Arabidopsis thaliana: one gene and its partners. Each later gene encodes a partner of the first gene's protein in a complex. Each region holds a gene or a part of one and is shown in the gene's direction. Other genes may lie near its edges.

The links.
Region 2: AT5G19480 (region 1) and AT2G22370 share a complex: the UniProt entries of both Arabidopsis thaliana proteins name them as parts of the mediator complex.
Region 3: AT5G19480 (region 1) and AT2G10440 share a complex: the UniProt entries of both Arabidopsis thaliana proteins name them as parts of the mediator complex.
Region 4: AT5G19480 (region 1) and AT5G20170 share a complex: the UniProt entries of both Arabidopsis thaliana proteins name them as parts of the mediator complex.

What each region holds. Positions count from the first base shown.
Region 1 is NC_003076.8:6,568,078-6,575,374, forward strand, and holds AT5G19480 (mediator of RNA polymerase II transcription subunit), read left to right. Parts: upstream 1-3,423; 5' UTR 3,424-3,750; coding exon 3,751-3,778; intron 3,779-3,866; coding exon 3,867-4,159; intron 4,160-4,307; coding exon 4,308-4,511; intron 4,512-4,620; coding exon 4,621-4,680; intron 4,681-4,813; coding exon 4,814-4,852; 3' UTR 4,853-5,546; downstream 5,547-7,297. Other genes in the region: NUDT24 (nudix hydrolase homolog 24), read left to right, coding at 1-110, 205-419; AT5G19473 (RPM1-interacting protein 4 (RIN4) family protein), read left to right, coding at 1,344-1,697, 2,553-2,603; AT5G19485 (transferases/nucleotidyltransferase), read right to left, coding at 5,830-5,895, 5,989-6,105, 6,194-6,298, 6,377-6,469, 6,556-6,807, 6,896-6,983, 7,058-7,107, 7,217-7,275. UniProt on the Arabidopsis thaliana protein: Component of the Mediator complex, a coactivator involved in the regulated transcription of nearly all RNA polymerase II-dependent genes.
Region 2 is NC_003071.7:9,498,821-9,505,581, reverse strand, and holds AT2G22370 (mediator of RNA polymerase II transcription subunit), read left to right. Parts: upstream 1-3,371; 5' UTR 3,372-3,503; coding exon 3,504-3,545; intron 3,546-3,692; coding exon 3,693-3,792; intron 3,793-3,882; coding exon 3,883-3,940; intron 3,941-4,017; coding exon 4,018-4,374; intron 4,375-4,460; coding exon 4,461-4,563; 3' UTR 4,564-4,798; downstream 4,799-6,761. Other genes in the region: AT2G22400 (S-adenosyl-L-methionine-dependent methyltransferases superfamily protein), read left to right, coding at 1-143, 242-476, 560-759; AT2G22360 (DNAJ heat shock family protein), read right to left, coding at 5,123-5,962, 6,068-6,151, 6,229-6,277, 6,600-6,642. UniProt on the Arabidopsis thaliana protein: Component of the Mediator complex, a coactivator involved in the regulated transcription of nearly all RNA polymerase II-dependent genes.
Region 3 is NC_003071.7:4,012,065-4,021,626, reverse strand, and holds AT2G10440 (mediator of RNA polymerase II transcription subunit), read left to right. Parts: upstream 1-3,580; coding exon 3,581-3,702; intron 3,703-4,039; coding exon of another isoform or gene 4,040-4,066; intron 4,067-4,201; coding exon 4,202-4,304; intron 4,305-4,390; coding exon of another isoform or gene 4,391-4,457; intron 4,458-4,554; coding exon of another isoform or gene 4,555-4,613; coding exon 4,614-4,726; intron 4,727-4,816; coding exon 4,817-4,941; intron 4,942-4,984; coding exon 4,985-5,377; intron 5,378-5,419; coding exon 5,420-5,514; intron 5,515-5,606; coding exon 5,607-5,681; intron 5,682-5,805; coding exon 5,806-6,777; intron 6,778-6,864; coding exon 6,865-7,179; intron 7,180-7,256; coding exon 7,257-7,421; intron 7,422-7,463; coding exon 7,464-7,582; intron 7,583-7,664; coding exon 7,665-7,875; downstream 7,876-9,562. Other genes in the region: AT2G10450 (14-3-3 family protein), read right to left, coding at 854-949, 1,029-1,121, 1,263-1,322. UniProt on the Arabidopsis thaliana protein: Component of the Mediator complex, a coactivator involved in the regulated transcription of nearly all RNA polymerase II-dependent genes.
Region 4 is NC_003076.8:6,805,059-6,813,935, reverse strand, and holds AT5G20170 (RNA polymerase II transcription mediator), read left to right. Parts: upstream 1-3,016; 5' UTR 3,017-3,206; coding exon 3,207-3,295; intron 3,296-3,383; coding exon 3,384-3,588; intron 3,589-3,748; coding exon 3,749-3,862; intron 3,863-4,066; coding exon 4,067-4,152; intron 4,153-4,643; coding exon 4,644-5,031; intron 5,032-5,113; coding exon 5,114-5,560; intron 5,561-5,669; coding exon 5,670-5,984; intron 5,985-6,064; coding exon 6,065-6,382; 3' UTR 6,383-6,561; downstream 6,562-8,877. Other genes in the region: AT5G20180 (Ribosomal protein L36), read right to left, coding at 2,026-2,182, 2,470-2,624; AT5G20165 (kish-A-like protein), read left to right, coding at 7,206-7,208, 7,298-7,404, 7,502-7,570, 7,685-7,719, 7,913-7,974; AT5G20160 (Ribosomal protein L7Ae/L30e/S12e/Gadd45 family protein), read left to right, coding at 8,834-8,836. UniProt on the Arabidopsis thaliana protein: Component of the Mediator complex, a coactivator involved in the regulated transcription of nearly all RNA polymerase II-dependent genes.

The sequences.
Region 1 (7,297 bases):
TGCGGTCGGTGTTGTTTCCTACATGGATATCGATCGGTACTGTTTCACACGTGATGTGCTGTTTTGTTATGATTTGGAACTCCCTCAAGATTTTGTTCCCACAAATCAAGGTTAGGCAATAACTAGTAAAGCAATCAGTAATCTTGCTCAGATAGACAGGTAGATATACTTTGTCATAGCATAGTAATCTTAATTACATTGCAGATGGAGAAGTTGACAGCTTCAGGTTGATTCCAGTCGCTCAAGTTGCTAATGTGGTTCGGAAGACTAGTTTTTTTAAGGACAGTTGTTCCCTGGTCATTATTGACTTCTTGTTTCGGCACGGGTACTCACTCTTTTCTCCCAAAATTTCTACCTCAGAAGAAACATGTTACTTACCATTATATATTGCGGGACTTTTATGCTCTCGCCGCGGATAGTAACATCCTTATGAGCAATCTCCAATTCCCTTTGGCAATACATTCTGTTCCATTTTGTCTATGCAGGTTAATCAGACCAGAGTCACCGGGTTACTTGGATCTATACCGACGCCTGAGGAATGGAGATTGCTCATAAGGACGTTACTTTCTATCTAATGTTTTAAAGAAAAAGCTCACTCTCTAATAAATTAATATTAGATACTCTGACTATGTAATAAGACTCATGCATGTATATAATATTCAGAGTCTTCATGTGCCTTCATGAACATATATATACCAATCAAGGAAGTTATAAAACTTCATTTATACAAATGAGCAAAACAAGTTCACAATTTAATTGTTCTCTTCAAACAGAGTTATTGATTTTTAGCATCAGAAAGCTAATCCAATTGTGTGAAGCAAACACTAATTATTTTCATCGTTATCCATTCGAATTCTTGTAACGATATGATGAAAGTACACTAAGATTGACATTTCAACCTCAACAACTTTCTACTTGCTTAGAAGTCTTCATGACCCCTAACAGCCTTTTCCAATAGGATGCCAAAAGTTAGTATTAAAAAATCCCCCGGACATAAAGGAACACCATTGCTTGAGATCCTCCAAGTTTAGAAACCTCCTAAATCTGCTCCTATGAAATCGTGATTTCAAACAATTTGTACTATAAAGGAAAAAGTGGAATTTTACAAGAGAGATCGTTCTCCTCCTCGTCATGAACACCTTCATCAATGTTTAAGAACATCTTTCTTCTAAACCAAGCAATATCTATTTATGGATAAAAGAAGGGAGGCATGCTCTCTAATTTTTTTATAAAATCTTGTTTCTTTTCTTTTATCCAACTATTACTAAATCATCGATCTTTATGATGTCTGAGTTACAATCGAGACATGTTGAGCTTTCATCGGTTAATGCGCGTTTTATAGAATGGGGAAAATTAACCGATGCAATCTCAACATCGATCTCATTGTTCTTTTTTTTTTTTCCGGAAATATTTGGTTCCCTAAGCAAATTATATGTTTATCTAACGAGTTTTATTCTTGGATACAGAATGCTGCATGGACTCCAGTTCCACAGTTCGGAGGGTGGGACCAAAAAGGACCAAATGATGCTACAAACTACTCGGTTGTCTTTTCTAAAGCTCGCGCAAACAGGAAGCAGAACAAAGCTGGTGTAAGACATTCTAGTTTGGGAAGCGAACAAGAACTCATGGTAAGTGTTCGTCGCAACCACCAACAACTTCACCATCGCCATGAAACTCAAGACGATGACCCTGTCATGGTAATTAAATTATCTCTCTCTACTTACTCTTCCATGGATTCTTTGGTTCATATTCACCTTGTGATGATCCTTTTCCCCTTAGTCAACGCGCATGGATCATCACAAGGTGGTATAACAATTCAGGAATTGATTTTCTCTTTGCGTCTTTTGTTTGTTTTGTGTTTTTGCATGCGCCTAAAAAGAATATTTCATTCCATTTCTTTCTTAACTCAGAGACATAATTGAACCATGAATGTTATTCAACTTAATTATGAGTTAATACATGCATCATAGTATCAGGTCTCATTTATGAATATGTAATGATAGTGTATCTTTAAATTTGATGTTATAGTGTATTGGCTTGCAGTTTGTTTCCATGGTTTTGAAATGATGTGTTTTGTTCGAACAATGAATTTATAGTTCGTTTCCATTTTCCCATTTTCTACTTTCTTTTTATTTGTTAGGAAAACTTTGTTTTTTTTTTTGCATTTTTTCCATAACATTTCAATAAGCAACCATATTTTAACATTATATTCCCACCTAAGCTAAATTTCATTACTTCTATTGTTAGATAAAAATATAATTAAACCAACTAAAAGTCTGAATCATATTATAATCTTTGCATTATGTTTTAACTATATGTTGGGAGTTACATAAATTTGTTTTGCTTGGAGCCTCCAAACTTTGAAGAGGCAAACATGAACGAAATGTACACTGCTTTTCTAGAGCGAATATGAAAACTCCATCTCTAGTTTGTATAACAGTCGAAATCACCTTGTTATACGAAGCATTATGCAATATGTGAAATGTATTAAGAGGAAGCATGTTGTCACCGTCATAAGTCTCTCTAACATTACTAATTTAATTACCATGCAGAAGAAGAAGAGGATCTTGACCTACATTAATTGTTGTATAAGGCCAAACTAGGGCTTTGTTCTTCTACAAAGTCGGAATCTTTCTCTCTTCAGCGATATAGCAAATATGTCTCAAGTGTGTAAAGACAGTAGTGTAACGTTTCTGTAATCTTCTTTATCACACACAAAAAAAAAAAACGTTCTGTTCTATGTGCATCATCTATTAAGATACCCCTGGTTGTGTTGTGTTGTGATACATTTTGACTTCTTCCTACATCATACGAGAACAAAATAAAACATGACTTAACCAAACCGTCAGATGCAGAATCCATTTAACTAATCTTCGATAAATTGAGAATTGTCGGATGATCATAGTTTTAGAAACAAGAGTTAAGAAATCATGCATTGATTGCTGGTACGATTTGGCCATTTGGGTGATTTTAGCTTTGGTTAATCATTCTCCAACTTCAATATAAAGGATCCGAACAATAGCAATGACTAAACGAATCACTTTTTGGCCTTAGCAAATTGGTCTTAATTATTTGGCCACAAATACACATACATATGACCATATGAAAAACAGTGGCTATCTTGCAACTGAGTGCCACCACCTAATCGTGGCCATATCCACTAACAAGTTGACCACCGTCTTAATCGGTGGCTATTGACGATTGCAACAAAAATTATTTGACGGCTATATTAGCATTTTTTTTTTTTTTTAACTATGTGATTAAAAATGCAAATTATAAGAAAATTGAAATTTTTATTAAAATAAAAATACAAATGTAAAAAAAGTCGTTGTGAAATCTGTAAAGTTGATCATACGCACTATGAAGCGCGTGAACCCCACGCGGTAACCCGTATAAATAACAAAATTTTGGACGAAAAAAAAACAGAAGAAGAAGAAAAAGAAATCGCGATTTTATAACGCCATTGTTTGAGGAAACTCCTAATCCATTCTCAAACCCTAGTTACTTCCTTCTCGAACGTTCCTCGATATTCCCGCGGGAAATTCACGACCAAGAGCAATCCGTTTTCCAGATTAGGGTTTATATCTCTGGGTTGCGATGAGATCTGCCTCGTGAAGTCATGTATGGCGGTGATTGATCTTTGCTTCAGCTTTGTTTTCGCTTTTCGTCAAATCTTGAGCTTATTGAGCTTTGGCTTGTTTGGTTTTCAAATTCCAATAATTGCAGTTTAATCAACAACAACAAAAAAATATGGAATCAGAGAGCGTTAAGTTTGGAGGTAAATTTGGTTTCCAAGCTTTGATTTTTGTCAAGTTTTATTATTTTGGGATTTGAGGGTCAATGAGCTTCTGGGTTTCTAAGTGCAGGTCCTAGAGAATTGGGTGGTGCACTAGATCTTATAACACAATACAAGTTGTTGCCACACCATGAATTCTTTTGCAAGAGATCACTTCCAGAGTCACTGTCAGATGCTCATTATCTTCATAATTTGGTTGGAGACACAGAGATTAGAAAAGGAGAAGGAATGCAATTAGATCAGCTTATTCCTAATGCATCACTTAGTAGCCGAGATACGAATGCTCGCATCCAACCTTTTGTTCTTGATGAACTTAAGGAGGCTTTTGAGCTTAATGATACAGCTCCTGTTGAATTGCCTCCAGTAAGAATATTGCTCTCTCTGTTTAGATTTTAACTTCCTGTAACATCTAGATCTTTTACTAACCATGATAAGTTGAATTACTTCCAAGTATCTTGTGATGATAGTTGAGCTAGGTTTGAGAATATGAGATCTCCTGTTCTTATTTCAGGCAGAGAAGGGAGCTCCTACCACTGTATCAAAATCAAAAAGTGAGTCAAAAGATAAGGATAGGAAACATAGAAAACATAAAGACAAGAAGGAGAAAGATAGGGAACATAAGAAGCACAAGCACAAGCATAAAGATAGGATCAAAGATAAGGATAAAGACAAGGATCGAGACAAAAAGAAGGAAAAAAGTGGACACCATGATAAGGTTATAAAACTGTCTGCTCTTGTTGGTACCTAGGCCGTCTATATATGTATATTTTGGATTCTTAAATTCGATAGAATTGACGTGGTATACGCTATCACTTTACTTTCAGAAAAGGAAGAACAATGGGACTGAAGATGCTGATGACGTTCAGAGGCACAAAAAGAGTAAGGTAATATACTAATGGCAATGGAGGCATCTCCTTCTTTTTAGTGAAGCTGAATTTAGAAGTTTCTGGTTACTCGCACATTGGTGTTGCTCTGCAAATTTTATTTTTGTCGGCCCTAAAATTAACTTTTTTGCAGCATAAGAGCTCAAAGCTTGATGAGATGGGAGCGATGTAGGTTGGAGGCTGAAGCCGTGCACACTTTCATTTTTGTATTGCACACCCAAGGTGTCATGGAGAGGCTTAGAAGCAGCTAACTTTGTTAGGTAACTCGGTCACTAGAGTCATCTTCTCATCTTTAGATAACGCACGTTTCTCATATGGGGCTGCGTCTGTCATAACCAACGGTACTGTACATGATGAATATGATTGAGTCAACAAAGCTATGGTTGTTTTAAACATGAAGAAATAATTATTGTCTAAGGCTTATAAGAAGATAACCTGGAACTCTAGCGACCGAGAGTGCACTAACTTTATTTTGGAGTCTCAAATAATTAGAAATGTTTCTATATGGTGTAGATTTGTCTCAACATAACATAAAATGATTTGGATTTGGTTTTGCAGGTTTAATCTCTAAATAAAAATTGCATTGTGGGAGAAGTTAGGAGGGGTTAAGCAACGAAAAGTTCGCCAAGAAGAATCACAACTTGTACATTTTGTTACACTTTAAACAAGCTATGAAGTTTATCTATTCTCGTGACTATTTAAACAGAAAGGTTTCATACATTCGAAATCATTTACTCTGAAATTTATCGAATCTGAAGGCATGTGACTTTTTGGGTGTATTCGTCTCTATGGAAATACCAAAAACAAAATTTAGATCTTTCAGGAAAGTGTTTTATCTCGAACAAAAGAGTAAATAATGAGAAGAACAAAAAAAGACATATGTAATATAACCAACGGAACAGAGAGAAGGGTCAGTGGCTGACAAAGTGTTTCAAGACTTCATGTATATGTAATGAATAGCAAAAGATCAAACTCTATCAGTAAAAGATACTAACGGAAAATCTCAAACTCTTAATCAACAAAACCCTTAGTGGGAAACTTTCCAATCCTTCACACTCTTCTCTCCTACCAAACGAATGACTAAGTAATGCTGCTTTTCATTTTAAAAAAGCGTTCCAAGATGTGACCTCATTTGCTTATCCTTCCTTTTCATTTTCTAGCAAAGGTCTCTCCTTTGTGCTCACTCCCGGCACAAACAACATACCCTGCTTCCACCTATAAAACCAATTGATGTTTTGATTATGGAATCTGTAAAAGCATTGATACGTAGGGGACACTGTATTATGAAAACTGAAGGGGGTAACGTACTTGGCAGTCTCTTAGAGTAACACGCTCTTGAAGCTGTGCGTTGCTGCAAATGACTGAGCCTTGTATTGAACATCCGTCTCCAATTGTGGCATGGTCCATCACAACTGAATTAACAATCTGCACCCACATATACAAGCAGTTGAGTGTCTTTTCGAGATGTACACCACCTTTCTTTGGCTGGCTTGAGTAAAAAGCTAATTATTACCTTCACATTGGAGCCTATCCGGCAATGTCTCCCAATTACAGATCTTTTGACACTGCATTTATCACCGACTTGAGAGCCTTCTCCAAGCATACAATGAGGTCCAACCTGCAACCCAAAAATTGTTATTCACGATCACAACTCACAGAACAAATGCTCAATATCTACACATGTAGAGTTACGTACTGTGGTTTTCGATCCAAGCTCAGCTGATGGGTGGACAATGTTGTGATGAGCAGAAAAGGAGTATCCAGATAGGTGGTTTGATTCACCAATAACCTGCACAAGTTTGAACAATTGCGGAGCTTCATAAGTCAACTGAGAAAAAAATACTGGAGAAGGAATCCCATGTGTAAACAACTTACATCTCTGTTTACGTCCATGAAGGCTTGAATGCTATTCAAGCGGACGAAATACTTACTTTCATCCGCTATATAAACACAGCATTTATGGGTTTTCCGGGTACCCAGACCTGATTCATAGACTTGATGAAAGCTTGGCATGGATGCGTTGGAGAGAATTTGAGACAAGACCACCTCGTTGTTCTGCATATTATTTTTTCCATTTCCATTCCCATTTTCTTCTACATTACTTTGGTCAGAGAAGACATCTGATCTCTGATACTCAAGGGGAAACCGCACAAATAAGGAATCAAAATGGTAATAAAAAAAAAATGGTCATTTGCAAGGACCGTATCCGACTAACCAGCTGTGTACGAACAAGATACGGTAGTACATCCTGTTTTAGGCTCCTAAAAGCAGGTTTTTGATCCAAAACTTCCTGCAGAACTGCTCTGTAAGACAAAAGAACATATTGAGTATCGACAGATAAAACTACTTTGATAGCAGGAAAGCAGATCTGACCAACCTCTTGAAGGCATATATATGAGAATCCATCAGATCTGATCGAATTTCCATCTAAATCGAAAATGACAAGATAATTAGAAACTGTACTAAGAATTTGTAATATATGAATCATAAAAAGATGCATTTGTAGGTAATTTCAAAAACTTAATAAGAACATTACCTTGCCAGCCGCACAGAGAATGCTCTTTTTTACTCGGGTATCTTTCTTAATCTCAGTACCTAACACAATTTCAGGAGGTAA
Region 2 (6,761 bases), on another chromosome or scaffold:
ATGGTCATCTCGTGGCAAGAAACACCGACACAAGCAGCGTTAAGAGGATTTACTATGTTTCAAAATCAGTTAAGGAAGTTCTTCAGTTGAATTTTGCAGTCGGGCAGCAGCTTAAGATCGCTTCTGTTGGCCTCAAAATGTTTGTAAGTAAAAAATTCTTTTCCCCACTTATCATTTCGGTTGATTAAGCACAAGCTCCAGAAGTGAAACTTAAGAATATTTGCAACTAATTGAAACGCAGGAGAGACAATCGGCAAAAGAAGGTTCAAGCACGCTGTGCCCATTCCGTATATCATCCGAGGGACTACCTGTGATTCTTCCATACATTACCAAACAAGTACTTTATACTCCAATGGCAGACTTCAAACTTCTCCTGCAAGACAAATCAATCAAGTTTCACGATTTTGTCAATCCACAGTTGGCCCAGAAAGCAACTGACCTTGTTATGGGAAGCTGCGTGGTGATTCTCAGCGATGGTGCGTATTGATTGGTCTTCATAGATATACATTTGAATTTGATCATGCAGGATGTGATTTATATGGTTTTACTGGTGCTTCAGGTGAAGTACCGGTGAAAGCGGATGCATCAACAATTGCCATCAGTTGCTGGAGAGGGAAGGCTAGTTTGGCTGTTATGGCCACTGTCGCAGATTGCCAGGAGCTGCTAGAGAGATTTGCCGAGAAAACACCAAAAACAGAAGGTGGTTCGGTAAATGGAAGCAACGGCGATTCGGACGGTCCACTAGCTATGGAGACTTAAGCCCTCCCTTCTTCATAACTTCAAATTGTACTCCTTTGTTGTGGTTTGACTATTCCCTTACTACCTCCAAATTATTTTTCATATAAGCATAATCATGATGACTTTTGTTGGAACGACATAAAAAAAATGAAAGATTTTGTTCTAAAAATCAACGTACACTACACAAAACTCACTATCTAAAAACCAAATCAAAACAATATTTTTGAAGTATATGAAATGGTTTATTTTATTCTAAACTGTAATGGACCAAATCGAGAAGACTGACTTATTGAGCTGCAACACACGGTGGTCTTAGAAGACTGACTTGTGAGCTGCAAGACACGGTGGTCTTAGCGAGATTCTTCTTGTTCACCTTGTTGAAGATCTCAGTCAAGAGAGTGTTGAAAGAGTTCTCGACATTTGTGGAGTTTAGTGCTGAAGTCTCAAGGAAAAAAAGCCCTTCCTTCTCTGCAAATTCCTTGGCATCTTCCACAGGAACCGATCTCTGGTTCTCTAAATCCGTCTTGTTACCAATCAAGATGATGACAATGTTCTTATCCGCGTGCACTCGTAGTTCTTCCAACCACTGAGGAATGTGCTCAAAGCTTTCACGTATTGTCATATCGTAAACTAACATTGCACCAACAGCACCTTTGTAGTAGGCTTATGTAATAGCTCTGTGTCTACTCACAGCAAAAGAACAAGAATGTCACTAATCAAACCAACCACATTGCTATGTACAATGGAGAAAACATGCCATGCACAATGATTAGCCACTTGGATGTGAATGTGATCATCACTACATAATTTGATTCTTCAGGAGAATGCTATAACAACACATTACAATGTTGCCGAAGAACAAAATCGAACAATTCCAACACTAATGGTCCAACTTCTAAAAGAGTCGATTACTCTCTAGTCAAAATGAGGTCACTCTCAGGTACACACGAAGATCAAAATCGAAATTGAACAGCAACACTGTAACATCATCGAGTTCGAAGCAATATTTTATCCATTGTTAAATCAGAGAAGATAGAACTAAGATCGGAGAAGGATATAGTACCGTTTCTGGCCTGCGATGTCCCAGATCTGAGCTTTGATGTTCTTATCGTCAATAACGAGCGTTCGAGTATTGAAATCGACACCGAATTGTGGCTTTGGAATCCATACTGAATTCGTCTCTTGTGAACCGAGCTCGTAGCTGTGACTTCCCAACCGCTGAATCTCCGTTCAAAACAACCTTGAATACGTAGTCAACCTCTTCTTCAGCCATCTTCTTCTTCGCTCGCAGTCGGCGATCGAACGACGTCGATTTTCTCGCTGTTTTTACACTCTCCGGTGGACTGAGAGATTAAACTAATCGTAGGGTTAAAATGTAATCCTCTACGGTAGAGAGTACTAGAGTGTATGGTAGTCAAAGTCGTCATACGTGGATTTGATTAATGATTGCTACACGTGTATCGCATTGATAGGTTCTCTTGCTCGGATCACTAATACATAAACTTGGATACAACCCAAAGCTTGACCTATTTTTGTTGAACACCTTTTTGTTTTTATATTTTTCATCCTCTGAAACAAGTCCATAGACTCTTGTATTAATATATCCTGATGATATTTGGTTTTACATTTGCATCTTGTATCATTGTAAACAATTCATAAGCCTTCCCACAAAAGCATGCTTGGCATTTGACAATTGGCAATTCATAAATGATGCATTATAAGCATAAATATCAACTTGGATATTCAACTTGGCCCGTGTATTATGCTACCTCTACAAATTTGGTGAGGTAGGTTAAAATGAGGCCGGTTTGAGTTACCGGTATATTAGACGAGCATTAACATGATTACACACTTGAGGATATTATTGACGAATGAAGAAACTAAAATGGTTTAGTTAATGCAAAATTGAGGATTCATTCGTCTATTGAAATAGAGAAGAATTGTTTGAGGCTAAAATAAATATATTTACATTTTTCCTATTCTCCTCCAAACTTTTCGTAAACATGGTTATTTGACTTATTTTTGAACTTTTTATCTAATAATTTAAAGGATTGTGGTGATGTAGTGGCCACTTAATCTACACAACATCGCAATAATTTTGACAAAATTTTCTACATATTTCTTGTCAACAATTATAAGGAATTAACACATTCTACTTAGTAGACATTTACAGTAATCACAACCAAGATGAAATAACCATATATAAATATCATTTGCTATGTTCATAAACTTTATCGAAACTAGTTGACTTCTTAAAATGCCAACTAATTAGGTTAGGGTTCATGAACTTTTTAGCAAAGATAGCACAAACTAAATTCTATCTTCAACCTAACTAATGACGGTTTACTCCGGTTAACCGGTGGTTATGTTCTCATCATGCGGCCAACTAAGCTAATGGGCTATTTGGTGATCACTAATCAATGACCGAGATGCACTAGAGTTTTTATTATGATCGAGTTCCCAAAAAAGGGGCAACAAGAAAAAACGAAATGGCCTATACAGGGATCGAACCTGTGACCTTCGCGTTATTAGCACGACGCTCTAACCAACTGAGCTAATAGGCCATCTTGCTTTATCTACAGCTAACTACTATATAACAACTACACAAGTGATTCTAGTAACTAGCTAAAATTCTCCGGTGTTAAAAAATCTCAGATTCGCTCCCGAGGACGATTTAGGAAGCTTTCGTTAGTTTTTCCAATTTCGGATTTGGTCTTGTTGAGAATATATTTACGATTTTAATTGAGAGATTTTGTGATAGCTCAATGTCAATGGAGTGTGTGGTTCAAGGAATCATCGAGACACAGGTTCGTTTGTATTTTTTGATTGACGAACAAATCCCAAGTTTTTCGAGTTCATGGATCAGCTTTTAGCTTTCTTATGATGTCCAATTGATAAACCCTAGGCTTGAATTTTTATTAGAATTTGATTAGATTTTCTACTGGATTTTGCAGCATGTTGAAGCTCTTGAGATTCTTCTTCAAGGTCTTTGTGGTGTTCAACGCGAACGTTTAAGAGTTCATGAGTTATGCTTAAGAAGCGGCCCAAATCTTGGTAAAGCCAATTCCTTTTGTTAAATTCAGAAACTTGAAGCTTCCTATGAATCATACATGATTCACATTTGTGAAATCTTCACTTTTTCAGGAGTTGTGTCATCAGAAGTTAGGCTATTATGTGATCTTGATCAACCCGAACCCACATGGTACAGCTTCTTCTTGTTGTTGTTGTTGTTGTATATGTTCTTGTTTCATTCAAAGGAAGCTAATTTAAGAACCATAGGACGGTTAAACATGTTGGTGGTGCGATGAGAGGTGCAGGAGCTGATCAAATCTCTGTTTTGGTTAGAAATATGATTGAAAGTAAAGTAAGCAAGAATGCTTTGCGTATGTTCTATGCACTCGGTTACAAACTAGACCATGAGCTTCTCAAAGTCGGATTCGCCTTTCATTTCCAACGGACTGCGCACATAAGTGTTTCTGTATCTTCTGTTAATAAGATGCCTAAAGTTCATGCTATAGATGAGGCTGTTCCTGTAACACCTGGTATGCAGATTGTTGATGTAACTGCTCCTGCAACTTCTGAGAATTACAGTGAAGTCGCTGCTGCTGTTTCATCTTTCTGTGAATTTCTTGCTCCGTAAGTTCATCTGATATATTTTACAGCACCTGTGATAGTGTCTTTGATATAAGCTTCATCAGTGATATGATTCCTTGTGTTTTCAGGCTTGTTCACTTGTCGAAACCGTCTATCTCCACGGGGGTTGTGCCAACCGCTGCTGCGGCGGCTGCATCTCTTATGTCGGATGGAGGAGGTACTACATTGTAAGAAGTTTGAAGTTAAAAACAACTGTTCTTGTGTTCTCTCTTGTTAGATCTTTTGGTCCAATCTAGTCAATTTTCCAGATTACACAATGGTTGTGAAATCTTGTGAACCATTAGAGTTAAGTATTATTTAATGAGAATCAGTAAGGGATCTTTAATAAATATTCTTTATAAATCACAACTTGCATATGATCTTTGCTCTTCTCTCAACCTTTTGGTATTATGATGTTTCATTGTTGTCACTTGTCAGTAGATTGATAGTTTATGAAGCTTCGAACATGATTAAAATAATGTGAATGTCTTTGTGGAATTACATACTATTTTATTTATCATTCAATCACTAATAAATTCCAATTTGAAAGCCTATTAAAACCTAACATATTAAAAATTTGAACCACAAAAAAATGAATTCTAAAATTCTTCCATTTCCACAACAATAATCATCTTCCTCCACTTGCTTCTTCTTTTTTCAAGAGCCATTCTAAATATCACAAGCCAGAGTAGAAAAATGTATATGTATAGAGAGATTCATAATTTCAATGTCAAAATTTTCGTGTTTCTAATCATCTACTGGTGCTATTAGCAGTCTTGTTCTTGCTCATATCAGCAAGCTCTTCAATAAGTTTTTTCTCCTCTTTGCTCAATCTCTTAGGTATCTCCACTTGTACTCTCACCAACTGATCTCCTCTCATATTACTCTTGTTCAATACCGGAACTCCTTTTTTCGCCATCACAAGCGTCGTGCTAGGTTGTGTCCCAGCTGGAACTTTCAAATCTACTGTCCCATCCACTGTTGGTACTTTCAGTGTCGTCCCTAAAATCGCATCGATATACGATATCTTGCAAGTGTAGAGAATATTTGTATCGTCTCGTTTCAAAATCGGGTCTGGGATAACTTCTATAACAACAAACAGATCGCCTGGTGATCCGCCTCTCTTCCCGGCATTGCCTTCTCCTCTCACTCTCAACCGGCTACCTGAATCAACCCCGGCTGGTACTTTGAGACTTATCCGTTTTGTCTTCCTCACGCGTCCGTCTCCAGAGCAAGTACCACACGGCGTCGAGATCTCTCCAGTGCCATTACAGGACGAGCAAGTCATGACTTGTTGGAACACGCCCAGAGGAGTTCTAGCTGCTGAAACCACTTGGCCTTGTCCGCCACACGTGGTGCATTTGGTCGGTTTGGTTCCAGGTTTTGCACCTGAACCTTCACATGTCCCACAGCTCTCGAGCCGGGATATCTCTATTTCTTTCTCCATTCCGAAAACCGCTTCTTTGAAGTTTAAGATTAGCGTGTAATACTCGTCTTGACCATCCACAGCTCTGCTTCTTGAACCTCTACCCATCCCACCACCGAAGCCTTCGAATAATGAGTCGAATAGATCGAACGGATTACTAAAATCCTAATGAAATTTAATAACAAAAAACCAAACCAAGAAGTGATCAGAGAGTTAACTTCGAGTGTCTATAAAGAATAAATCTGTGCATCTGTGTTTTGAACAACGTACCCCATTGCCAAATCCAGCAGCGCCTTTAAGTCCGGCCTCACCATACCTATCGTAAAGAGATTTCTTTTCATCATCTGATAAAACCTGCAATTTTGTTCTTTAGTCACTAAAAGTACGAACTTGCATAGTAGAAACAAAGGAGAAACTGGGTTTCATTTCACCTCATATGCGTTACTTATTTCTTTGAATTTCTCTTCTGCGCCAGGATCCCTGTAAGCACATAATAAACATGTAAACAAGACGGTAACACTTTTCTAACTTAGAAGTGTCAGTCTTGAAAGGAAAAAAGCGGTTTCTGAGCATTTCATATTTCCCGGTCTGTATTTTGCTAAGGGCTATGAGTTCTTAAAATAACTGGTTTCCCTAATTTGGGGAACAACATAATCCAAGGTTTGCAGTCATCTTGTTTTTGGCATATCTAACATTTGGCTAACAGATATTAAGCTTCTTATCTCTACTTGACTGTCGATCCTATCTTCTTATTCTCAAGATATACATCCACTATCGTCATCAAGTGAAGTTTTTCACTTACTTGTTCACATCCGGATGGTAATTCCTAGCCAGCTTCCGATAAGCTGAAACAAGAGCAAGGAAGAGCGAATCAATGTCATACCAAAAAGTACCAAGTCAAGAAAAAAAAAGAAACGCCAAGCAAAGAATTCACATCACGGGTTTGATCATGCATTTTAACATA
Region 3 (9,562 bases), on another chromosome or scaffold:
AATGGTATACTATGGGTGAAACCCTAGAATTAACTATCAAAATATAATTATACAATTGTAAACACTAAACAAAATAAATAATATTAACACAACAAGTACAATTTAAAATTAAATATAACTTTTAGTTATAAAAATCGTCACAAGGTGTATCATACATTAAAAAAAAATAGCCTATATATATAAATCATTTTAAAGACAAAAAATCAATTTTTTATTTAATAAAATTATAGACCTAAAATGTATCTTTTGAATATGTTATTCATATATAAATAATATTAATTAAAAAAATTAACTTTTTAAAGAAATTATCAATATCTAGTAAATAATAAATTCATATGTTAAAAAAAAATCAATACACTCGTGCGAGAGGAAAAAAAGGACAATTGGAATTGCCGTTTGACTATTGCCAAGCCCAATTCTAAACTTATACAGATTTATTCCCAACAATGGGCCGAGTATTAGTGACAATTTGACGTTTCCTAAAAGCTTATAGTGATTCGATTTTAATAAAGAAAAGACTATATATGATTTGTAAGAGAATCTCCAATGGTTACAACCCCATGATGGGTTCTCTGCATTTTATAAGAATAAAATTAGCTTTTTTCAATCTTAAAAACTTGCATAAGAGCTCTGAAGTTTTTTGTCCTCCAATGGTTAAAACCACTAATGGGGTTCTCTAAGAAAAAAATTCAAATTTTGTAAAACAATACATACATCCTTTTTGTTTGGTTACAATACATGGTTTTACAAAACATATTCACAAAAAGAAACAACTCTTGGTTGCACATGTTTACTTTTACTCGCTATAATACATTTCCAATTATTATTAATCAAGAGAGTACTAGAATATGAATTAACTATGCTTTGGTTCCGACAAGACAGTGAAACAAGAATGACATTTGCACAAGACCTTTGGTTCTGCCTCCTTGATCTCATCTCCTGCTTCGTCCTATTGACCAAAGAGTTATAATCATGTCAATTACAGAACTTAGTGAACAATGATCAATGTATATTGTGTTGATGCTTACAGTCATATCTGAAGTCCAGAAAGTGAGATTGTCTCTAAGAATCTTCATAATCAGGGTACTGTCCTTGTATAATTCATCACCCAATGCATCCAACTCAGCGATAGCACATTGGCATTGTCCAACATACAAGAACAAAGATCTTGCAACGACAACATTTAGTTTAAGCAATTAATGAATAAAAGCAGCACAAAGAACATAATTACTAGTAACGTCTTCAGGTGACAAAATATGTACCATCATCAGAGCCTCCGGTTGCAGGCCGTAAACAATCCTAGTGGCAAAGTAACAACACATGGTTATGGGATCTCAGAAGCTTCTTTGATTCTCATAGCACCAATCACAAGGAGAGTCAAACCAACGACTCTTGTACCCCAAGTCCTTATAACTTCAGTGTGAAGCCTATTTCAATTTCAAGGTATAGAGCAGTGGATAATCTCAAGGTAAACTACACAGAAAAAACTACAATTCACATAGATAGTTCGAACAATTACTACAAACTTGATATTTACGATGTTTCAACAATTACTTGATCATGAAACCATAGACTACTAGTAATGAATCCAATGGTTCTTGAAACAACTGAAACCTATAAACATTGATGCTTCTTCAAAAACCACCAATCCAGTAACTTAAACCAAAAATAGTCGCAAACATCGATATAAACAATACACTGACGCTAATCCAGAAGATTCATAGTCGTGAATTACCTTAATACTCTGATTCAATCTTCGAGATGTATCCGGCGATGGATTCTGGCGGAAGAAGCATGAAAGGGAGCTGTCTCGGCGTGACTGGAGACGGCGAAAGGAGGTAAAGCTAAGACCCAATTTCTCATTAAGCCCATCTTCATTAAAAACAAGACCTAAACGTGAGAAGTGTGTACGTATGTATATAATGTCTTCTTCCTCTCGCCGCTTATGTTACGAGCACGCAATGTTAACCTTATCAAAATCATAGAAATTTGATCTCAACTCTCAAGTCACCATCATCCTCCACTATCGAGTTCACCATCGTTGTAGTTTGTGGTTGTGGTCCCGATCGTGTTAAGTGGTGACGTGAAGTTATCGTCACGTAACATCCAACCCTAATCATCACCATCTGAGCCACTATTAGCCTTCTTCGTCCTCCTTCTTCACCGGAATCTAGATCTATCATTGGTGCTTTGTTTGGGTCTGTGATACCGAATCCTCTACTTCTTCGTTGCAGAGTGAGATAACGGTGAAACCTTATTCTCGTATTCATGTTAAGGTGTTGTGTTGTTTAATTATTGAACCAACCTAAACCAAGGGATTACGTATAGTTACGGCCATGAATTGAAACTTGATTATTAAGGAACCTTTTGAGTTGATCGGTTATGGCGTCAGTTGGGTTGTGTTAGTGAAGAAGACGATATAGTCAGTTATTGGCTTATTAGAAAGCGTTGGGTTAATTGTCAAACCAGAAGTAGCATTGACATGTACGTGATTTGAATTGTGGCGTTGGTTTAATTATTAAACCGGGGAGTATTTGGTCACGTAAATGGATGTGGCGTAGTCAATTACGTGTTAAGCAACTAATATTAAATTATTAGACTTGGTTTAGTTATTAGATTAAATAACAAATTATTAAGGGAATATAATCTTGATTGATTAATCTAAATTGTTGTAGTTTGAGATCGTTGTTGAGCCGGATCCATTGTTGCTAGTCCTATTTCTTAAAATCCAACCGAGTTGCCAAGGTGAGGGTAGGATCTGTGGAAACATAGTATCACCTTTACTTTTGTATTTCTGAATTTCATTTGTATAAGATTAGACATTGGGTGCTGATTGTTAAAATGTTAGGATTATATATTAAATATTGTTGATTCAGTAATCAAACAATGAATTTGTACTAAGGGATTTAGACAAATTCACTCCTCTCTTAGCTCACAAATAATCAAAGGAAAAGAACTAGGTTGCTTAAACAAAAAGCTAGGGTTTGCTCTGTAATAGTAGTCTCTTGTATTAGGTTAAAGATGATCTCAATGGGGGGTTTGACCCCTCTATTTATACAATAGGTCGAATATACCAAAATATGATAAACTTCTAATTATCTTAGGTTTAAATCTTCATTACTTCTATTCTTCATGAGATCCTCTTCTCTTAAATGGAAGTTTTCCCTTTACACGACCTAAGAAGTTGGTTATGGCGATCTTGATTGTCGACTTAAGTCTTCGGGCGATCTCATGACTTAGGCCCATTAACAGGCTAACCGGGATACCCCGGTTCAATCGAATTCTCGATTTTATTCACATTATTCCTCGGTTTAAATTAGTATTGTCGGAGGTGCTAATTCCTGCACCAACAAATATTATAATACGTGTTGTGTGATATTATGCGATAGGTTGTTAGCGTGATATGCATATTGATTTTTGAATACTCTTTTGTCGTTTTCTTGTACTATATATTTATCTGTTTTGTGTTACCATGTTGAGTAATTTCTCTAATCATTCTTTTGTTTGTTTGTTAAGGTTTAGCGAGGCGGTTCTTGGTCAAAGCCTATACATACATCTCCCCGTTAGGACGCATAACTTAATGGAGGGAAATACTAACTGGAAGCCTAATGAACAAGGCGGAAACCGTGATGCTGCGAATAATCGTATTGATTGGAGATCACAACATGAGCCTGAATTACGGCAAAAGGTTCTTTCAAAAATGTAAGCCATTCTTTCAAGAGTTTCATGTTTCTTTTGTTGGACTCATTGTTCTTATTTGATTATTAACATTCATGAAAGAGAGTAAGGTTTTCTTGGTCATGCTTTCGATGTGATATTTGTAGTTTGCGCATGATAAAGATTGCAACAGTTAAAGCATAAGAGTTGTGCATAAATGTTTATCATAGTTGACAAAACCTAACTTCAACCTTTTGTACTTTAAGTTTTGCATATTCTTTTAACCTCATTACCTGCATTTAGGCTCTTCCTCACTAGGAGAATCTTGTTTTACTCTCGCTTCTATGTACAATTGCTTGGCACATATGTATAATTGTTTCAGTGTTTGTTCGCTAAACGATTATCGTAAGTTCGAATATTAACTACGGATTATTTTCTCTGTTTTGTATTTTTAGTGCAATTAAAATGGTATCACTTCCTCTTGAATATCAGTTATAACCAAATTCTTCATAGTCACTGATATTTTGTTCTCATGTATGTGTAGAGTTGAAAAGTTCAAGGAAAAGTTTCATGCACATGAAGAATATAAGATTAACGACATCGCTTCCAAATTTGAAGAAAATTTTTATAGCATAGCAACCGATAAGGTGTTAAACTACAAATTGTTTCTCCATCTATTAACTTCAGAATCTGAATTTGATATCTTACTCATTGTCCCCTTGCTATGTTTCAGAATGATTACCTTAGGAAACTCAGTGAAACACTGCATTATATACAGAGAACTTACACTAGAGTTCTAGGTAATAAGTTTTTGGTTTCATAATTATACTATTTTAGCTTAATAACAAAGAAATCACTAACTAACTTTTTTTTTCTATGTGTTTATCTAAACATCAGCTTCTCAAGTAGTTGTGAATCAAGCTCAATCTCTTCCCGCCTTGTTGCCATATATGCAGACTACAACGAGCCAACAATGGTTACAGCAAAACACACAGAGCAATCTCTGTGTCATCTGCTTTGCCAAGTCAGGTCCCTATAACCGTTCCCGGTTCTCAAAGACAGATACATGGTAGGCAACAACTTCTTCCTCAGCAGCAACAGCCTCAAATGAATCAAATCCGCCATGGTAATTTACGACCTTCGCACATGCAACAACAAGCTCGGTCACCGCAGCCGCAACATCATCCGCAAAGTTTGTTGAAACAACCTATTCAACAGCCTTTTCCTCAATCAAGCTAACAAAACACTCAATCACTGACCAGAAATCAGTTTTCGATACAACGGGTCAGTTTTAGTCATCAACAACAGATGGTTCTGCCGTCTCAAGAACAGAAACGACAAGAACAAGAGCAACTCATTAATCAACTGACGAATCTTCCAACATCACGACCAAACAATAGAGACCAACAAGGAGCTTTTCAGGTATCCTCGTCTCAGCAGAACAATAATGTTACCTTACATGCAATGTCTCAACAGAAGAATAACCTCCAAAGTATGACTAGAGGTCAACAAGTAGGACAATCTCAACCAATGATGTCACAACAATACCGACAACAATACCCCATGCAGCAGGATCCTCAGAACAGAAACTTACAGAAACATTTGGATTTTGTACAAAACAATACCAATCAATTTCAAGCAGCAAGTTCGTTGCGCCAAACACAAAACATAACAGATCAACAGAACCAGCCACAACAATTAGAGAGAGCAAATCCATCTAGTATGTTTCCTCTCTTACTAACTCTTGTGATAATGTTTTTAGTTCTAATAATGAATATCATTGTAGCATCTCAAGATTCTACGGGAAAGACGGTAAATGTCAATGCCGGAAACTGGCAGGAGGAGACCTATCAGAAGGTATCTTCACTTGCTTTGCTCTTCACTTCTTAACATCACAATTAGGGTTTGATTTTGTTTTCAATTGATTCCCATTCTGATATGTCCTGCAGATAAAAAAACTGAAAGAGATGTGTTTACCTGTTCTCAGTTTAATGCACCAAAGAGTTGCGGAAAAATTGCGGGAGGTACTTTATTTTATAACCTAATTGTTTTGCTTGTGGAACAAGAATTTGTTCTAATGGTTTTCTTAATCATTTTTTTTTCTAAAACTTTGTGTTGTTTTTGGTTTAATAAACCTAATGTTTCCAGACTGAATCTCTTCCGCCGCAACCGATGCAAGCTCAGTGGATTGAAAAGCTAAAGGCGGGAAAATTGTCAATGGAACACCTTATGTTTTTCTTAAATGTTCATAGGAGCAGTGTATCAGAGAAACATAGAGACAAGTTTAGTCAATATGAGTACCACATATTGAAATTTACCAAGAGTCAGACCATGGTTTTGAGGCCAACGCAGCAACAACAAGGACAATTTCCTCCTTCTCAAACAGCAATGCAAACCCAAAGTCCTCAAGTCCATGTGTCACAGTCTCTTTATAAGGAGCAAAGGAGATCACGGTTGATGCCAAGTAGCCAAAATGAGGCCTCGTCTTTGTTGCAAATAAGGCCTAAGTTGGATCCAAGAGACGAGAACATCATTATGGCTTCCTCAGGAAATGTCATGTTACCTTCTGTTAAACAAAATCCTCGGGCCGTAAACACAAATATCAGTTCGGTTCAGTCGTTGCAGAAGCAGAAGCGATTCCATCACCGACAAATGCAACAACAACAACCACAACAAGGGAATCATCAACATCAAATGCAGACAAATGAGATGAATGATGTGAGGATGAGGGAGAGGGTCAACATTAAAGCCAGGTTGCTTGAGCAACAAGTCTCATCGAGTCAGCGCCAGGTTCCAAAGCAAGAGTCTAACGTTTCATCCTCTCAGATACAGAACCACTCTTCTCCTCAGTTAGTTGACCAGCATATTCTTCCTGCGACGATTAACAAAACCGGAACCCCATTGAACTCTAGTGGTTCGGCTTTTGTTGCTCCAGCTCCATCTCCAGTTCCTGGAGATTCTGAAATGCCTATATCTGTTGAGTCTCCAGTTTCTGGTGTTGATGAAATAAACTCAACTTTAGATTCTTCTAGTAAACTTGGCACACAAGAAACTCCTCTGTTATTTGTTCCTCCGCCCGAGCCAATCACAGAGCGGCCTATTGATCGACTTATAAAAGCGGTAAGTAAACTCTATAGCTTATCTAAGTTTACTTTCTTTACCTTCTCCTATTTACTGACCTAATTTTTAATGTGTGTGGCTTTCTAGTTTCAAGCAGCATCACCAAAATCATTGGCAGAATCTGTAAGTGAGATTAGCTCGGTGATTAGTATGGTTGACATGATTGGAGGATCGTTCCCTTCTAGTGGAGGATCTAGAGCTGGTTTAGGCGAGGATTTGAGTGAGAGGACAAGAAACTTTACCACACACGAAGAAACAAATCTGTCTAAGAGAATGAAGCGATCAATCAACATTGTGCCGCCAGATATGTCATCACAAATTGATAGTTATGAACAGTTGAGTAGCCTTGAATCTGAAGTTGTTTCCACAACATCATCTGGCTTGAAAGTTAACAATATTGCGGTAAAATCTACTCTATTGGTATCGAACTACGAAAACAAATGAAACATCGAAATAAATCCATTTTTTCAATCTTGTAGCCTGGTTATGCCCTTTTGCAAGAAATCAAAGAAACAAATGGGAGACTTGTAGAGACAGTGGTAGAGATATGTGATGAAGATTCTTTAGGAACAATCGTCACTTGTACTTATGCTCCTGTGGCTCTCAGTGCCACATTCAAAGATCATTACAAGTCTGGAAAAATTGTAAGTTACTTCAAACTTCTTCTTTTTCCTCACTCTGCTCAGATTTTTTATGTCTCTAAATGTTTGATGCAGGCACAGATTCAACCTTTACGCTTACTATTTCCTATGGATTATCCGTATAGTTCTCCGATAGTTCTCGAGGAAATCTCCTTTGACACTAGGTATGAATCTTTCTTAGAAATCAAGTAACAACGATTGGAGTAAATATATATGATCTTAAGGATTTATATCTGCATGTTTCAGTGTACACAAGTATGAGGATCTATCCGCGAGAACCAGATCAAGGTTCAGTTTGTCCATGAAGGAATTTTCAGAACCAGGGTTTTCGAAAGGAATAGCTCAAACGTGGAATGATTGTGCGAGAGCGACAATGGTTGAGTACGCAGAGAGACATGGTGGAGGCACTTTCAGCTCCAAGTATGGTGCTTGGGAAACGGTTCTAAGAGCTTCATGAGGACTAATACTTCCTTTCTCACTCACCGTACAAGATAGTTTTTAGGTGGGAAGCCTTATAGCCCAAGTTAGGTTTTTTTTTATTTCCTTTGAGATAGAAGTAACATTTATTTGTATGGTGTGGCTCATGTCTTCTTATTGTATATATTTTAACAAGAAATTATAATTGTTTCAAAACCGATAGTATAATAAATTATCTTGAAATATTTAGGCACAAAGCCTTTTTTTTAAAAAAGATTTTAAAGTATTTTATTGTTTTTTCTTATTACATGTTTCATTTATAGAGCCCAAAAGGTTGGAATATAAGTTTTAAAAAAGGATTACAGAAAATGAAGCCAAGCCTATAAAACTAAATCATCCTTAGTAATTTAAACATCCACTCATAAAGATTTTGCTGATGAAACGTGTTGATGAAGTGTTTTGCCCTATGACACGGGCCGAGACGTCAAGCACCGCTGTTGAATTCGCGGGAAACCGCTAGAATTCACCAAAATGTTGAGAATCGTCTTTCCTTCTGTCGATCTCGAACCCATGTCCAAAAATCGTCGATATTCTTTCGGATCAAGTGATGGAAGTCGCTTAAAAATTCTTCAAGTATCATTATCGTCGGGGAAGCTCCACCTCTGACGACACCCATATTGATGTGGCCGGATCTTTGTTCATGTGTGTGCATAAAGAAGTGGTATAGATATTACTCGTCGAACTAATTGGTGGGAACATAGAGGATTTGTGAAGAAACCAAAGACATCAACAATCACCAATAGATGGAGATCTAAACTCGCAAGGCAAGAGAGAACTTGATAAAAGTGGTATCAAAAGTCTTGTCCGAAATCAAAATTATTGATATCGTCGAAGCAAAATTTATAAACCTAATTAAACAGAAAAAAAAAAAAACTGAAATTAATATCCGATTTGGATTAGAGCATGATCGTTTCTAAAGAAACGAGAAGGGTAAGAGAAAAAAAAAAGAAAAAAAAAAAAAGCTCTCGAAAGTATCCTATTGATTTACATGACATGATAAGAGATTTATAAAGCAAAATAAAAAGCTATAGCCTCAAAATTGAAACAATCATGCTGTAGATTCCTATTTTTTTTTCTCGCATCCCAAATAATAGCACAACTTTATAGTCTTTAGAAGGTCTGTACATTTTTTCTCTTTTTCTAAAAAAAGTTTTATATCTATTTCTCCATGAATCAAAAGATCTCTATCTAAACTCCCTGAATTGATACTTCAACATTTATTAACCCATATTTTTGGGTTTATTCGGTTAACTATACTGTTAACCATTTATAACCAGAGAAAACCATACATCAACGAAAGAAGAAAACAAAAATACTCTAGCGAGATTTCTCTCTTAGGCACTCTTCCCGAGTGACCCCAAAGCAGTAAAGAGTTTTTGAAAAACCAGATCTCACCCACTTTTACTTCCTATACAAGGCAATTTTACAACTCCGGTGACCTTTCTTTGCTCTTTCTCGCCGAGGAAACTTCTCTTACCATGCCACCAGGCATGGGCGGTTGGACTATCAACTCAACATGACTCCAGAGGACTCAAACCTCACTTCGGCCCTCCCGCTAGAGCATGTTTCTCAACCTTGAAGCTCTGGAAGAAGACTCCAACAACCGTATTCTCTCTTCTCACGGTATGGTTAAACCTTCTGTCCAGCTTCTAACAATATCTTAACCT
Region 4 (8,877 bases), 240 kb from region 1:
GTCGATTAGTTTTTAATCACGTGGTGGATGTTTTAAGCATAAATTAATATTTTCTAGGTTAATTAGTTTTTGGTTCTTTCTCCGAGATTTTTTTTGTTTGGTTGGTTTGATTTTCCAAGTGGTGTACCAAAATGATTTTTAATTTGACTTTGCTTGTGTATATCATTGGTCTGCGGATTCTTCTCTGCTCGTTGCTACTAAGCTATAAAAATCTCGTGCACAAAAGTTACAAAACGCGGAATATTAAGTTCACGAAGGTCGCAGAATTGCAAGTGGACGGCAGTGTCACCAGAAAATATAGGTTCACGGCTGATCTTTCTACAAATGACACGTGGGACAAACTCTTTTAATGCAAATGTAACAGATGGACGGTAGATTCGTTCATTGCTTTTGCACAACGTATCAATGTAGTTATAGGTAGATGTGTGCAAAAAACACAAATATTGTTTATAAATAAAATTGAATTGTAAGTATATGTGTAATTTGAGTATCAATTGGGTGGGTGGGTCCTTCTTTGATTGTACGGTTCACGGTTCCATGTGGCTCACGAATGTTGTAATTGACGCTTTGGCCCATAACCATTTCTATCTTTTGATTTTTTTTGGGTCCCATTTCTAAGTTGATAACATGGCCAATAGTGTATTTGTTTTTGTTTTTTGGTCTTTGATACTAACTTTTAACTTTTCGGTAGTACAACTAATGTAAGGATTAGCAGCGAGAATCTGAACGAATCGTCTCGTGTCAAAATAAGATAAAAATAGTACAACTAATGTAAGGATTACGAAAGTGCTTATTTTGGCTCAATTCAACGGCAAATTTTAATTTGATTTTGCAGGTTTATACTACACCATCATCTATACATCTTTGTGTACTAAAAAACCAAACTAAATTTCAGGACAATTTATTGATAAAAGTTCTACTATCATTCTTAAATTTATACTATTATAAATCCGAAACTACCAAATTCAAATTAAAAGTTCGATACTGAAACTAAAAATTGCAAGAAGACAATTAACTGAAAACTTTAAAGTTAGAATTCAACCAAACACATTAATCAGACGACAAGTGAACAACTCAATTATTCAAGAACAACCGTGACCAATACGTCATATAGTCCAAGTAAACAAATGATATATATATTAAGATCATGTTAATTTTCATTGGCAAGGAATCCTGAACCTTTGAGAAATTATCCTTTCTGAATTTTATATATTGAGTAGATTAATTATCCCTTTCGTATTTTTTGTTTCCTGTGAAAGAAACACAATTATGATGGTTATCTCTCGAGATCAATTGGTTAAAATTGCAGCTCAAAAATGGAAATTACGAAAGAGTATGACAATTATTGGTGAGGTGATTTTTTTGGAATGAAGCTGTTAACGATTTGACTGAGGGAAAACTACAACAAAAAGTAATAAAGAAGGCTTGTTATGTCCAAAAGTAGTACTGTCCAGAAGCGGGGCCCATGGGATATGCCTATCAGAGTGGGCTTCCTGTGACCTCTCACACCACCACGTAGGACCTACGAGCCGAGTGCTCAACGGTGGAGAAAGAGAAGGGTCGTTGTCGTTGAGAAGTCTCCGTCTCTCCAGTTTCATTGTATTTGATTCGCATTTAGTGGGTGTGCTTTGTGCAGCCTCATTTTGGAATAGTGAAATTTGACTATAAACATGCGCAAATGAGCCACAACATATTTCAAACTACTTGGTACGCGGTCAATACAAATTCAACCACAATTTGCTCATTTCCTTGGCATGTAATCGATGTGGATATCACTAACCAGAGTTTTCTAAAAGAAAAACATATTGATCCCTAACATATGCTCCAGTGGAAAATGTAAAAACAAATACTCGAGTGTCATAATATATCTCTTTGTTCAGGTCATGCGAGGCACAATCAAACAGGTCTCGAAGGAGCATACGACTGACCAAAGTAAAAGTGGAGAGATATACAATAATGTTTCATAGGAATTGGAAGAAAACTGCGATTACAAATCTGAAGAATAAAAAGGGAAATGCTGACATCCTAATTTCCTTGTTTGAAGAGAATGGATGCAAGACCAGACCTCCATCCGAAATACGCTGTTGGCATAGGCCTTTTGTGTAAAAGTGATGCCAGTCCGGCTGATACCCCCTGACCAGGCAGCCTCACCAACTCCTGACTAGCAATCGGCTCAGCAAACCTGTTTTACAATCCCAAATAACTTTTTAAGTAAGTTACTCTCAACTCTGCGAAGGAAAACAAGTGCACATGCTTCATGCTTCTGTGTGATGTTCCACTATAATGTATTTTAGTAACTGTTCAACAGACTCTAAATAGATCCTCACTTTTCATTCAATGATTCTATAGGACAAAATTTGGGTAGTAAGTGATTCACAGTAGTCAATATACACTGTATTTAACCCGTCCAAAATCCGAATGAGACACCTAATTACTCAAAAGCGAAAACCAGATACAAGATTCACTTACAAAGGGGAAGGTGTAATTCCTTCATAAGCAAAGGAACTGAACCCTTGTCTTTGCTTGTGCTTAGGATTGGAAGAGCATATAACATACACACGTCCACGACGTTTCACTGTTTTACAAAACTCACACATCTTCTTCACAGATGATCTCACCTTCATTGCTTCTCACTCTGCAATTCACAACCGATCATTAACACAAAACTCATTAGATGAAAATGAAAGAGAACTCTTCAAAGTATTCAACTTTAAGATTCAAAACTAAGGATTGTATCCTCTAAACATATCATTTCTACTTAATCTACCAGAAAAACTGCAATCCTTAGTTGATCCGATGATGGAAGCAAAAGTAAAACGAATCTGAAGCATCCATCTCTAACTACACGGAATCACACAAGAGAAAACCCTATAATAGATCCAGATACGAAATCGAGTGATAATCAACGAGAACCCATCAAGCGAAGAACAAAAAAATACCTGCGAATTCAAAGGCGACTACGAAGAAGAGCAATCGATTCCCAAATGCAAATGAAAGGGTTTTACGGAGGAGTTTTGCACAGTCAGAGTACAACATATTTTGGGCTTTTAATGGGCTTTACCCGTAAAAATGATCCGGAATTTTTTTGACCCGGATTATTAGATCTAAATATCCGATTTGGAGCGTTGAAGCGATTTGGCCGGACTGTGTTACCGTCGACCTAGAAAATCTGAATTTTTGACCGGGAAGATTTTTTTCTGTACGATATGGATAGCGACATGGAAATCTCTCTCGACAGGCTTCCCATTAAACGATTGGAATCTATCGAAGAAAATGGCGCCGAGCGTTTTCCTTCGTAAGTGTTGTCTGGTGTTTGAGAAACGAGACAAAATCTTCCCAGATTGTTTTGCTTCTAAATTATTCCTTTTGTTTTTGACGTGTAGTGATGTTGATTACGATGATAAGAGAGTATCGCTGATTCGGAGAATAGACTTCGCGTGGGCGTTGGAAGAGGAAGATGAGCTGAAGAAGAAGAAGCAGAAGAAAAGCTCCAAGGATAGCGTGGAGCAATGGAAATGGAAGGGAATGGTTGAGAATTTGCAATTGGCTCATCAGGAGCTCACTGTCATCATTGACCTTATCGACACAGTGAGTGACTCTTGTTGATAATAGATAAGAATTTTGGGATATTCATAGCTCTTACAGTGTCTGTTTTATTGGTTTGAATGGAAGGAGCTGAAGTTTGGTTTCTGATATTTGAATAGAGAGTAAAACTTAAACAATTTATCTTCTGATTTTATCTTTGAAGGTCCAAGCAAATGATGCAGTAACAGTTGCTGGGATGACCAGACCTAAGCCGATGCCGAATGAGATTCTCTCGGATCTTGCTGTGTCTACTGCTACCAAGCTGCAGGGCTACCGGGTAATCAGTAGCTTACTTTCTTATGTGCAATTTAACTTTGCTTAAAGATGGAAGGATTCTTGTAATTGTTATTAGTTAGGCACTTTTTAGTATCCTGAGAAACTGTTGGAAACATTAACTTGGTTTCGTAAAGAGCTTTTTAACTATATAATTGTCTTTGGATGGTATGCTTATCTCACTTCTGAATATCTGTTTCCTCTGCAGAATTTAGGAAACTACTTTAAACAATCAGCAAAAGCTTTAGAGCAGAAAATCAATCGTGAAGCAAGGTTTTATGGTGCTCTTATCAGGTTCGAGTACTTGCTTTTCATTTAATGTCAGTGGCTATTTTCCTTAGTACTATTTTGCAACTTTTAAGAATTTGTTGTTTGCATTCTTGATACTAGTTTTAGGTAGCTTACAATGTCATAGCTATTTGTGTTGTGCACAGATAATTAGCGTCCGAATTTTGGATGTAGAGTTATTACGCACGTAGGTTTTGTAATATGTTATGACTTATGACTGATAAACGTGAAAGCATTTTATTATTCTTGTCTAATGTGAAAAAGTTCTAAATTTTGACTTCTACACCGTCTCTGTTACTGAACCTGCATAGTACAGTACTTCAGGAACATCCATTTTGTTGTGTAGTGACTGCTTAAGATTATGCCAACACAAATTAGAGAATTTCCGTTGAAATTGCTCATAATTTGTATAAAATGATAAGCTGACTTCAGCTTCCAAAATAGAGATTGATTTATACGTGCAAATGGTTATTTTTGCTATACTAACAAGCTTATAGGTTGCAGCGGAACTGGAAAGTCAAGCGACAACGCATGCTTGCTTCAAATGCCAGCAATGAGGGCTTCACCATTGATCTTTCTGACAGTTCATTATATGATCCGACTTCTGGTTTTCGCCCATCTACACTGTCCACTATTCGTGTAGATCATGATTCAGCTGGTATGCTGGCCATTAATGTACCCCAAGATTCATGGTACTCTCTTCGGTTTGGGTATGTTGGCTTAAATCCGATTGGCAACTCAAACGAATCTGATGAGCACATAGACTCGACTACTGGTCACGATATCCCTGGAACATCAGAGAAGTTGTCTGCAAGTGACGACAAATATGTTAAAGAAACTCATTCGCTACTGAGGGAGGTGCATAAATCAATTTTTGCTGAGCAGGTGGTATTTTTGTCATATATCTTGTAGTACGCTTGGTATATCTCTTCACGACTATTTCTCACTTCTTTGGTCTTCTTACCAGTTGTTTGACATGCTAAATCGTGAAGCATTCAATGAAGGTGTGGGATTCAACATAAGTGGACTACGAGAAAATTTTATGGAAATGAGCATCGGCCAAGGAGCTTCTCTGTTTGTGTCTCTCCACCCATCAGGCAAAAATCCCAGCATCAAGAAGTCGGAATCTGCAACCTTGCTCATTGAATCATCTGGCAGAGTAGAACCAGCAGAAGGAGGAGACTATCGCTTGAAGAAGCTAGGGTTCCCTAATCGCACCAGCTATGAAATATACTTGCAACAAATTTTTCACGAGCATGCCTTTGGAAAAGCTAAAGATCAGCTCAAGTCAAAAAGTATCAGAGCATCCAATCAAACAGAAAAGGACAGCAACTCCGGACTTCTTGACCATTTCTGCTTATCTTTGACTCATAGAATCTTCTCAAATAGAGTTCTTGTGCATCTTGAAAGCGTGGTATTTTCCCTGATGTGCTAAACTTTATTGAATGATCCTTCTCTATCAAGAAACTTGTTGTCATCTTTGATCATGCTTTAAAAAAAATGGTTACTTCCTCATTGAACAGGTCTGCAAGGTCCCGTATCTTCATCTGATATCTCATCCTACATGGAATTCTCGGACATCGTCATGGACTGTCTTCATGACTGTTCCTCCATCAATCATCCCCCAAGGAAGGTCTGAAACCCAGTCTCCTGATGGTAAGAGGAATCTTAAGACGCAGTTCCGGACAAAAGTGGTGGTGAAGGATGATTGTATTAGTGTTGAAGCGGAATGCACGCCCAATGTGGTTGGCTTACTCAAAAGCAGTTCCTGCAATCTATTCTCTATAAACAAATACGAGTGCGACGTGGCCGACCTTCCCGTGATGATTCTCCAACAGGTATGTTCTTTCGTTTCCTAAAGTTGATCATGTCTATAGCAACACGGTCCCTTAAACACGCGGTTTATTTATTTGAGAAGGTGGCGAGCCAGATAGTGTGTTGGCTACTGGAGGAAGCACGGACGGTAGGGACAAAAGCGAGCAGGGAATTTCTGTCACTATCGTTAGAGATAGTGGAAGGGGAGAGAGTGAGCCTGGTGGCGCATGTAAACCCGGAAGACGCAAAAGGATGCATCTCGTGGTGGCTAGTGATGGAGAATGGATGCACAGAGGAGAGGGAAGGAGTGTCGGAGAGTAGGAAGTTGTTGGGTCATTTGTCTCTGGATGTCTTGTACTCTGTTCTCATGGATTTGATCAACTTGTGTGGTACTGGTCGCAATGCTTTAGAGAGATTGTAAATGCTGAAAGACAAGTAGTGAACATGTTTAGTTCTTCAAGATTTGTAGATTACAATGGTTTAGTGAGACTCTAGTGTCTAGCCCAAACATCACTTTTTTGAATAGTTGGAAATGTGGATTTTATGGATTAAGGATTGATGATTATTATAAAACATCTTTATTTCAAATAATATTATCAATTTTTCTTTTTTAAAAAATCTTTGAAATCATAATGACTTTAGTACTTAAAGGAAGAAAGGGGTAGAATTGGAAATATGTAGAGAAAACGAGAATAACTCTGACGCGAACGTTTCTCTCCTCCGTCTCTCGATCCCTCTCTTGACGTCTCGCTGATCTGTTTTGCTAAGATTCAAGCTTCAAAACCCTAATTTCTCTAGCCATTAGCATCGATTTCAGCTCAACTTCAGGTTTGCTGTTCCCTTTTTTTGTATCATCCCATCCACCGATCGATATTTCTCAATTTTCTGATTTGCTGCTCTCTCGAGAGAGAGTCACCGTTATGGAGTTGGATTCACTATATGATCTGATAATTATGAAATTCACAGATGCTTCTATATATAGTAAATCTGATTTATTAGTGACGAATAGATGAACATATTCCCTTGATTATTCTTCTACAAATCTCGGTAGTGATAAATTGTTAGGTTTTGACGATAATTGTACTTGCTCAGTTTTTCATGTGTTTAGTTATGATTCTTCTTGGGCATGTCTGTGTCTTCGAATCGATTCTCATGTGATTCCCATTATTGTTTTTTTTCTTCTGGTTATTTCAGATTCAAGGAAACAATTATTAGCTTCTCAAGTGCTTCAGTGATCCGATACAATGGTAGTTATTGCCTTCTCTGTTCCATTGTTAAATTTTGTTAATTTCAGTGATTTTGAGCTAAGAGTTTTGTTTATCTTTGATAAATTCAGTCAGCTTTGTTCAATTTCCATTCGTTTCTGACGGTGGTGCTGCTTGTGATCTGCACATGCACATATCTGAAGATGCAGTTCCCTGCCATTTTAGAGCAGAAAACTGGGTTTGTACCTTCTTTGTTCTCCTTTTTCGTGAATTTTATTCTCAAAACCGATAACACTAACACATTTGGAGCTTTGACACCGGTTATTGTTTTCAAGCATTGTCTTTTGCCAAATTAAAGATGCTTTGTCAGATTTCTCTGCATATTGTTACTTTAGATTGCAAATGTTACTTCATCCTAGTGCTTTTTTTGTATTTATAGCTTGCATCTAATGCCCTCAGTCATCACTTTGTTCTATGCATATTAATGATAGAAATTGCTTGATTAATTACTATTGCAGGTTTCGAGGATTTTTCTGGAAGGCTGCTAGAATAGGTAGGCCTTTTCACCCCTTTGGAGCTCAGTTATCTCTTGTGATTTCAAAACCTTTCTAAAAACATTGTGTTGAACAATATTTCTTTGCATGTGTTCTATAGAAAGTAGTGATAGGCTTTCTAGGAGCAAGAACTCGTTACTAATCAATGCAGCTACTAACAATTGTACTATAAATTCAACTCATGAATACCAGATTCTAATGCTTTAAAACCCATGGTCGATCTCCTATTTAAGCATATGCATGATGGCATATAGTTAAGTCTATATCCTCCTACTTTTACTGCCATTTGTTTTCCATCGCCGAACATTCTGTTGCTTAACTTTGCTTTGTCATCACTTGTACCAGGTGAGCGTTTGAGCCCTTGGGTCTCCGCTGGATGCTTCATGATGGGTGTGTCGATCATTTTCTTTTGAGTGTCAACTTCTTACATATCCAGTTCTTGTAGATTTTTACTTCTTTGGGATGCTCATTTTTCTGTATGCAAAAGATTCCAAGGGGTTGTTGATGAAACTGAAAGAGTAGAATATTATCCTCTTTGGATTATGGATATGGTCTTGTATTTGGAACAAATTGTGTCTGTTATTTTAATGTGGAGACAAGTCCATAAAGCTCAACCATAGAAATTAGTAGAGCATAAGACACCAGAACCAGCTAATAAAACGCATCTTTGTCGTAAAGGAAGAGAGTAATCACATACGTAACTTCAAGTTTACTAATTTCATTGAACTAATGAGAGCATCAGTTAATAAAAGTTTGTTGTGTGTGTGGTAGCTGTAAAATTATCAGTCAATTTGGATAATCGATCAGTTTTATGCGAGCAAAAAGAACAAAGGTGAAGTCATGGTTACCCTTTTGGGCTTTAATCAAAATTTCGCCGACAAAAGAAGAAACTAAAAAACCAAACTCCCAAAGTCAAAACTAGTTCTGTCGGTTAAGGTTAGTTCACATGGGCCGAAGTATATCATCACCCAGGCCCATTAAAAAGATGTATAAAATCGACAAGCATATAAGTAACAGCGTAAGCCTAAGTTATCATTCAGAATATTCAAGCTGAGAAAGTCGTAGCCTCTAAAACCCTAATCCTCTCTGAAACCCTAGACATCGCAGCTGAAAATGGTACTTCTCTCTTCCTCTTTCTTCTTTTCGGTATTATCTTG